Callithrix jacchus: one gene and its partner. The protein of the gene in region 1 purifies or fractionates together with the protein of each later gene. This does not show direct contact. Links are inferred from orthologs where the notes say so. Each region holds a gene or a part of one and is shown in the gene's direction. Other genes may lie near its edges. The genes, in order: SLC22A5 and YIPF3.

What was found.
Region 2: the proteins of SLC22A5 (region 1) and YIPF3 purify together in Homo sapiens (co-immunoprecipitation; 3 studies listed by BioGRID and IntAct, counting the BioPlex papers as one, with this or other methods). This does not show direct contact. The link is inferred for Callithrix jacchus from reciprocal best matches to the Homo sapiens genes SLC22A5 and YIPF3.

The regions. Positions count from the first base shown.
Region 1 is NC_133503.1:76,088,054-76,091,966, reverse strand, and holds the start of SLC22A5 (organic cation/carnitine transporter 2), read left to right. Parts: upstream 1-1,109; 5' UTR 1,110-1,295; coding exon 1,296-1,688; intron 1,689-3,913. UniProt on the Homo sapiens protein: Sodium-ion dependent, high affinity carnitine transporter. Involved in the active cellular uptake of carnitine. Transports one sodium ion with one molecule of carnitine.
Region 2 is NC_133505.1:51,997,193-52,001,105, reverse strand, and holds the start of YIPF3 (protein YIPF3), read left to right. Parts: upstream 1-1,324; 5' UTR 1,325-1,446; coding exon 1,447-1,527; intron 1,528-2,065; exon of another isoform or gene 2,066-2,160; coding exon 2,161-2,370; intron 2,371-2,541; coding exon 2,542-2,648; intron 2,649-3,913. Other genes in the region: POLR1C (DNA-directed RNA polymerases I and III subunit RPAC1), read right to left, coding at 874-945, 1,073-1,141. UniProt on the Homo sapiens protein: Involved in the maintenance of the Golgi structure. May play a role in hematopoiesis.

The DNA.
Region 1 (3,913 bases):
CGGATTCTTTTTTTCAAATCCTGAGAACATGTGAAACACACTGAATTCTTAAGATTTAGTAAGGGGAGGAAATAAAAGATCAATGATTCTTATATATCAATGTAAAAGATCAATAATTTCTACATTGATTATATGATGAAATTATGTTCTGGATATATTGATTAAATATACTATTAAAGTTAATTTCATCCTTTACTTTTACTTTTTAAATATGCAGCATTGCCAGATAAAATACAAGACAACCAGTTACATTTTCATTTTATATATTCCTTCATGGGACATAATATTTAAAAATTATTCATTCTATATCTGAAATTCGAATTTCAGTAGGAGTCCTATATTTTTATTTGCTAAATCTGAAAATTTTATTAATATGGCTAGTAGAAAAATTAACAACAAATATAGCTCCTTATCCTATTGAACATTGCTGCTTTAGAATCACCTCGCTGCTTTTTGTTGTTGTTCCTATTAGTTCCCGAACAAACTCTTCGCAGAAATAACTAACCTGTGGAGAATATTTAACCTTAGGCTAGGATCATTAATCGTGATGTTAAATTTTCATATCGGCATAAATAAAATGGCTTGTTACCGACGAAAATATAGAAAGGGCATCTGGACTAGAATGAAAAGTCATAGCTCCAAGCCTCTCTAGTGGGGCAGTTAACAGTCCCAGTTCCCCTTATAAGGATAGGTGGTGTCAACAGCAACTATCTGTGAGAGCCTAGACCAGTCACTTTCTCCCCGTCCCCACCCCCACCCCGCGTAGGCCTCGCCGAAAGCTGGGAGAGGTGCGTTTTCAGCACTGGAGCCTCGCGGCCGCTCTCCCACTCACTCCCGACCCCGCGCTGGAGGAACGAGTTCGGACTCGCACCCCAAGACCGCGAGTCTCGCTGCCTTCCTAAGCCGAGCCCGGGCTATCTCGGTCAACCCTTACTGCCTTGGCTGGTGGAGGCCGGGCCGCCGCCAGGCCCCCGGGACAGACCCCGCCTGGGCCTCAAGTGCACCCGGCCCGCCCCGCGCCCTTACGTCCCGCCCCAGCTCCGCCCTCGCCAGCCCCACACTGCCTGCCGGCAGGGCGGGCCTTACCGCCCAGGCCCGGAACCCTCCCTGGCAGAGCGCCCCATGTAAGGCAGGACCGCAGCGGCGGTATCAGCTCACAAGCCTACCCTCGGCGGACGGTATCCGGTCGCTAGCTGCTTGGCTCGCCTGGTCGGCGGCGTGTGCCCCGCGCGCACGCGCAAAACCCGCCGCGTCCTCAGACCCCGGGCCGCGAGCTGTGGGCCGCAGAGGGCGGCATGCGGGACTACGACGAGGTGACCGCCTTCCTGGGCGAGTGGGGGCCCTTCCAGCGCCTCATCTTCTTCCTGCTCAGCGCCAGCATCATCCCCAATGGCTTCACCGGCCTGTCCTCCGTGTTCCTGATAGGGACCCCGGCGCACCGCTGCCGGGTGCCGGACGCCGCTAACCTGAGCAGCGCCTGGCGCAACCACAGTGTCCCGCTGCGGCTGCAGGACGGCCGCGAGGTGCCCCACAGCTGCCGCCGCTACCGGCTCGCCACCATCGCCAACTTCTCGGCGCTCGGGCTGGAGCCGGGGCGCGACGTGGACCTGGGGCAGCTGGAGCTGGAGAGCTGCCTGGATGGCTGGGAGTTCAGCCAGGACGTCTACCTGTCCACCATCGTGACCGAGGTGGGTGCCAGCCCCCGCCCGGGCTGAGACTGGGGCACGGAGGGGATCGTCCGGCCCTTGAACCCGAGCTCCTCTCTCCCAGATGCACGCTGGACGCCGCCACTCCCCCTCCCCCACAGTCAACACCCTAGTGATGGAGACCCACCAGCCAGGTGGCTTGGGAACGCTTTTCGAGGGGACCTCCAGCCAGAGTGTGCTCCTCACAGCAGATTGTCAGCCTGGCCTCCCATCCTGATGGCCACTTTGAAGAGGGTACTAGGAAGGTCCTGGCGGTCCGTGGAAGATGCCCTATGGCCATGAGTGTCCAGGACTTCCTCTAGTTGGGGTTGGGGGTGGTGAGGAGCACAGCCAGGGCTTGGGTCAGGGGCTATCCCGTTTTTCCTCTAGTCTCTTGGCTTCTTTTTAGAAGAGAGGAAATACTTCTCTTTCCTGAACTTTTTTTTTTTTTGAGACGGAGTTTCGCTCTTGTTACCCAGGTTGGAGTGCAATGGCATGATCTTGGTTCACCGCAACCTCCGCCTCCTGGGTTCAGGCAATTCTCCTGCCTCAGCCTCCTGAGTAGCTGGGATTACAGGCACGCGCCACCGTGCCCAGCTAATTTTTTGTATTTTTAGTAGAGACGGGGTTTCACCATGTTGACCAGGATGGTCTCGATCTGTTGACCTCGTGATCCACCCGCCTCGGCCTCCCAAAGTGCTGGAAAATAAAGCATGTGTATAAAGCTGCCTCTTCCCGATTTCCTCTAATTACTCTTTCCCCTATCGTCTCCACAACCCAAAATGACAGTCTGGTCATGCCCTGTGTTTGCCTTTTCCCATGGTCAGTTGTCATTTAAGATCCATTCATCTGAAGATCTGTTCAGGGTAACTTGGTGACCTGGAATGTTTTCTAAGGTATTCTGAGGCAAGGCTGTTGGCCAGACTTAGTTAAAGTATACAATCTTAGGTCACAGAGAGTCGGGGAACCTTTCTCATTTCTCAGCCCCTTGGATTTTCCTTCTGGGTGGTTTTGTCCCCTCCGAACCTGTTGGAGCAGTTGTTGGAGCTGGATGTAAGAACATGATGTTAATGACGCATGTGTTTTGTGTCTTTCTCAGACACTGGCACTCTAGCTCCCTGAAGTTTTAGCAGCATTGAATAAGCAGCCAGTGAAGAGCCCTCTTTGATAGATGGGATCACTGAATGTGCAGATAAGGAATTCACAGGTCAGAGAAGGCTTCCGGGAGGAGGAGGCCTCTCAGCGAGTCTAAGGTGTTCAGCTCAGCAGAATAGTAAGCTGAAGGTCTAGATGCAACAACAAAAACCACATAGTAGGAGGGCAGAGTTTACAGAGAGGGGAGAGTTCATAGAGAGGGAGAGTGCTATAGGCCTTGGCACGGCTTCACACCCTGCTGGATGTGGGTGCTGAGCCTCTCTCCTGGAGCCTCAGAAGGGCTTACAGGGGCTCTGGAGGTCTCAACTGTGTTGCTTCTTGACGTCATCACCCTTCAAGGGAGTCTGAGAGCTACCCTGGGAGACTTGAGTGTGTGTGCATGCGCATGTTTTTTCTGTTTGGAAGTTTGATGTCCCCAGCACCTGGACCTGCTTTCTCCACATGTATTTAGTGGGAGTGTGACCTGAGCCCCACTGAGATTTCTTAGCTAGCGACATAGCCTCAGTGATCAGAAGCTTCATGACTTGACAAAAGAGGCACTCACTGGAGGTAGCCAACTGTGCTTTCAGGCCCATGAATCCACAGAGAATTGGAACCTTCAGTTGCCATAAATCCTGAGTCCTAGCCTCACAGGTTGGGTCTGTTACCTTCCTAGAAGCCAGTGAGTACTGTGAAAGCAGAGGCTGTCCCTGGGGTTGCAGGCAGAGGACAAAGAGGGGAACATGATATAGGAATCCCTACAAATTCTACTTGGGGCTGCCTAAAGCAGAGGGAGGTAGTAAAGTGAGAAGAAGCTCATAGCATCTCTTGGAGTTTTACATTGACCCTTGAGGCCTTACTTAGTCATTTGTTCTTGCTTTGCTGCCCCCACCCCATGTTGGAATGAGTGGTGGTGGCATTGATGAGCTCCCAAAGGCCAGCTGTGCCAGGGGGTCTGCCCTTACCTTGCTGCCAATGTCAGCCTTTTGTTGTTTAATATTTAGACTATTTACTTAGCTGTCTTAGCAGTTTCAAAGGAGTTAGGTGCCCTTTCACCTACTTATATGTTGTCAATCTTTGCAGGGAGGCCAGAT
Region 2 (3,913 bases), on another chromosome or scaffold:
CTTCAACCTCAGCTTCCCTTACAACAGATCTGCCTGCTCCATACGATCCTCTTCAAACTCATTCCCTCCCAGCTATCAGGGTTGCAAATCTAATCATGTCTGCTTAACTATTCAAGCTCCCTATCATCAACAGTGCCCAAGACACACTTCAATCTTGCCTACCACTAGTGCCAGAACTGCTTGGACATTCCCGGAGCACAATTCACACCATAACTTTTTTTCAAGCATTAGCCTTTTTCATTGTTCATACTTTATTCCTGTATCAACAGGTTAAAAAAAGTAAAATTTTCCCAAGCACAGATTTATAGATCATGTTTTATAAACTGCACACACAGTTCAGTTGCATAAACAGTAACATTCAGTGATCTATTTAAATGCAATTTTAATCCTTATTTTAAGCTAAGTGAAACAATAATAGACTAAATACACACAAAACCTGTATATCCTCAACTTCACTGACCTGAAACTCAAAGCCTTCCTAATTTAACTCCTGTTCTTTACTTACCGTTCAAAGCTCAATTCAGATCTTCCCTCCTCAAGAAATGTTAAGTACCTCTGGGCCCCTCTTCCTGGTCTCAGCATAATGTTCCCCACACGAATCCTGCCATCTTCACAGCTATCAACCACCTTTACCATATTAAACTAGATTCACTTGTTTATACGCACCATTCCTCAACAAGACTGAACATCTTGTTTGCAGAACTGGGTAGAAACTGTGTCTAACTTGGCCTGTAAACGGAGGTCTACCACATTGCTCAACAAAACTTACAAACGGAGCGACCCCCAAGAGCAGCTACTGAGACAGACACATGCTGCTGAGACCACAGGGTCTGGCCCTCCTAACAATCCCCGGACAACTCTGGCCCCACTGACCTTCTCGAAGCGTTCCTGGTCCCAGGCATCATCATAACCGGAATAGTTACCGGGAAAGTCAGTGGTATGGACCTAGAGCAAAGGGATGAGTTTGTCCACAAATGGACAGTGAGCCTACGGCTATCCCCACGCCAATCCCAAGACCCATCCCTGTTCCGCTCTCATTCCTCCCGCCTGAGCTCAAGGACACAAGTCTTACATTGCGAACCCCAAACTCTCCTAGAACCACGCGGCTCCGCATTTCTTCCACGGCCTGAGTAGCCGCCATGTTCAATCTCTCCAAAAGACTACAGGCTCTAGCTGGCGCGTGCGTTCTAGCAGCACTGCTCCATCTCCGTGGCAACGCACCGCCTCCTGGAATCTTAAATATCGCGAGACTTTGCTCCACCTTCATCCACGTCCCCAATTTCCGGAAGTTGGTTTTGTCCAAACATCCGGGTTTCTCCTTTTTGTGTTCCGGCTGATCCCACCTCTCCGCGACCTGGGACCTCTCCCTTCTTGGGACTCACATCTCGCACACTTCCCTGCGCGCGGGGCTATCGCGGGCTTCAGCGACGGGAGCCCTCAAAGGGCATGGCAACTACAGCGGCGCCGACGGGCGGCGCCCGAAACGGAGCTGGCCCGGAATGGGGAGGGTTCGAAGAAAACATCCAGGTAATGGCCCCAAGGCACCAGATGCCAGCAACCCGAGGGCCGGCGATGTCCAGAAGTGTCTTGGGGATTCTCCCTCGGGGCCTGGAAGTTCACTCCATTTGCAAAACTGCCTTCTTTGGGTCTTGCACACAAAAGTCAGTGGAGTTAACATTGACCTGAAAGGGCCAGACTAGTCTACTACTCCAGCCTGAGGATCTCGGGTCTCTGGGCCCGCCCGAGGCGTTAGGAAGAACGTATTCTTGGAACAAGTTAGGAGGTTGGTTGGGGTCAGGCCTGGAGTGGGGTTGGGTGGGATTCACTGGCACTCGCCGAAAACATACTGTGTTCATAGTTTTGTTTGGGGCTTTGGAAAGACAGAAATGGATTCTTTTTCAAGCTTTTAGTCTTTGATAGGTAAGGTAGGAGAAAGACATGAATGGAAGACTAGTTGGTTTCCCAGGCTAGAAAAGATAGCCAAAGCTATAAATCAAGCGTTCTGAGAGCAAATGAGGGGGAATGGAGTGGCATGATCTGTAGTGATTCCAAGCCGTATCCTCAGCAGTGGAAGAACAAAGCCCTAAGCCCTGGGATGAGCAGAGGACTTAATGGATGGAACAGAAAAGTCCTGCACTCTAGGAGCCATTGTCTTAACAGGGCGGAGGCTCAGCTGTGATTGACATGGAGAACATGGATGATACCTCAGGCTCTAGCTTCGAGGATATGGGTGAACTGCATCAGCGCCTGCGCGAGGAAGAAGTAGACGCTGATGCAGACGCTGATGCGGCTGCTGCTGAAGAAGAGGATGGAGAGTTCCTGGGCATGAAGGGCTTTAAGGGACAGCTGAGCCGGCAGGTGGCTGATCAGGTAAGCAAGATGGAATCCCCTGCAGGTGGAAAAGTAAACCTAGGTGTGTCCCATGTCCTGGAGTTGGTATTGGTGTGTCGCCCCAGGTTGTCCTGGTAGAAATCAAATGGAAAATAGGCAACAGGGTCTAATGCCAAGAGTTCCACAATACCTATGCCCATCTTCCTTCAGATGTGGCAGGCTGGGAAGAGACAAGCCTCCAGGGCCTTCAGCTTGTATGCCAACATCGACATCCTGAGACCCTACTTTGATGTGGAGCCTGCCCAGGTGCGAAGCAGGTGAGGAGCCTTCTCTTGAAGAAGCTTCCCTCCTAATACCTACTCCTTCATGCACTCTACAAGCCCTGTGCTCTGGTGGGCTCCCCCTCTTCGTGACCTCATCACCTCTCATCACTGCACCTGTCATTGAACACAAATAATCATAACACAGCGCCTTCCTCCTCTTTTCCATCTAGCCGACTACTCATCTTCCCTCAAAACCTACCTCAGATGTCACTTCCCCTATTCCACATTCCTCAATCCCATCCCCAGTTTGTTCTCTCCTGGTATTCCTATAGAACACTTGCCTCCAACAGACAGCACTTCAGCACTGCCATCCTTTCATATTGCTGGAATTTTCCCCCCAGAGCAGGCTCTATCTTGTTTATCTTTTTATTCCCAGCACCAGAACAGTCTCTGAACCAGAATATCAGGGCATAGTTTTTGAGTGACTTTTCAAGAACTAGATATAATCCTGGCTTGTTTTGTTTGTTGTTGTTCATCCTTTAATCAGTGCTAAGCAAATACCCAGGACCACTCAGCAAGTATTTATTAAGCATTTGCTCTGTGGCAGACCCTATGCTAATTGTATCCGGTTCGGTGGTGAAGATGGATGGGAGCCTTGCTCTTGAGTACAGTTATAGTACAGTCCTCATGCTATGATGGGGTACACGGGATCGATATGTGAGCCATAGCAGGTTGGTGGGTGGGACGGGGCAGGTTTCCCAAAGGAAGTAAAATCTAGCTAAAATCCAAGGTATGATTAGGAGCTAGCCACCTTGGCAGGGACGGGGGTGGGGAGCGGTGACTGAATTTTCTTACTACTCCACATATGTTTTTCAAGAAAATGCTCGACAGTGCCTGGAGGCACTCTTACTGTTCCCTCAGTAACACCTTTCATTCTAAACCTTCCATCTAGCTGACTAGACCTTTTCTAGGGCTTCCCCATTACAGTCTAATACTCTGGGTACTCTCTGCTGAGGTCTGCCTGTCTTTTCAAGGGGAGACGGGGTGACAGATACATGGTCAGGCCCTCTCTGAAGGCCCAGCAGGGCTGAGTTCTGCACATAGCTGCTGTTTCAGTCAGCTAAGTTTCAGAGGGTTAACCTTCCTGGAAGTAATTTTAGGGGCAAGGAAATGATTTCCTCATTCCCTGTATATCTTTACTACCCTGTTCTCCCCTGTCATCTAACATGTCCTCTAGGCCAGGCCCCAATCCCTGGAGTTAGAGATGAGTAAGATTCAGGCCTTGCCCTCCAGAACTTCATGGCCTAGTGCTGTCTCTG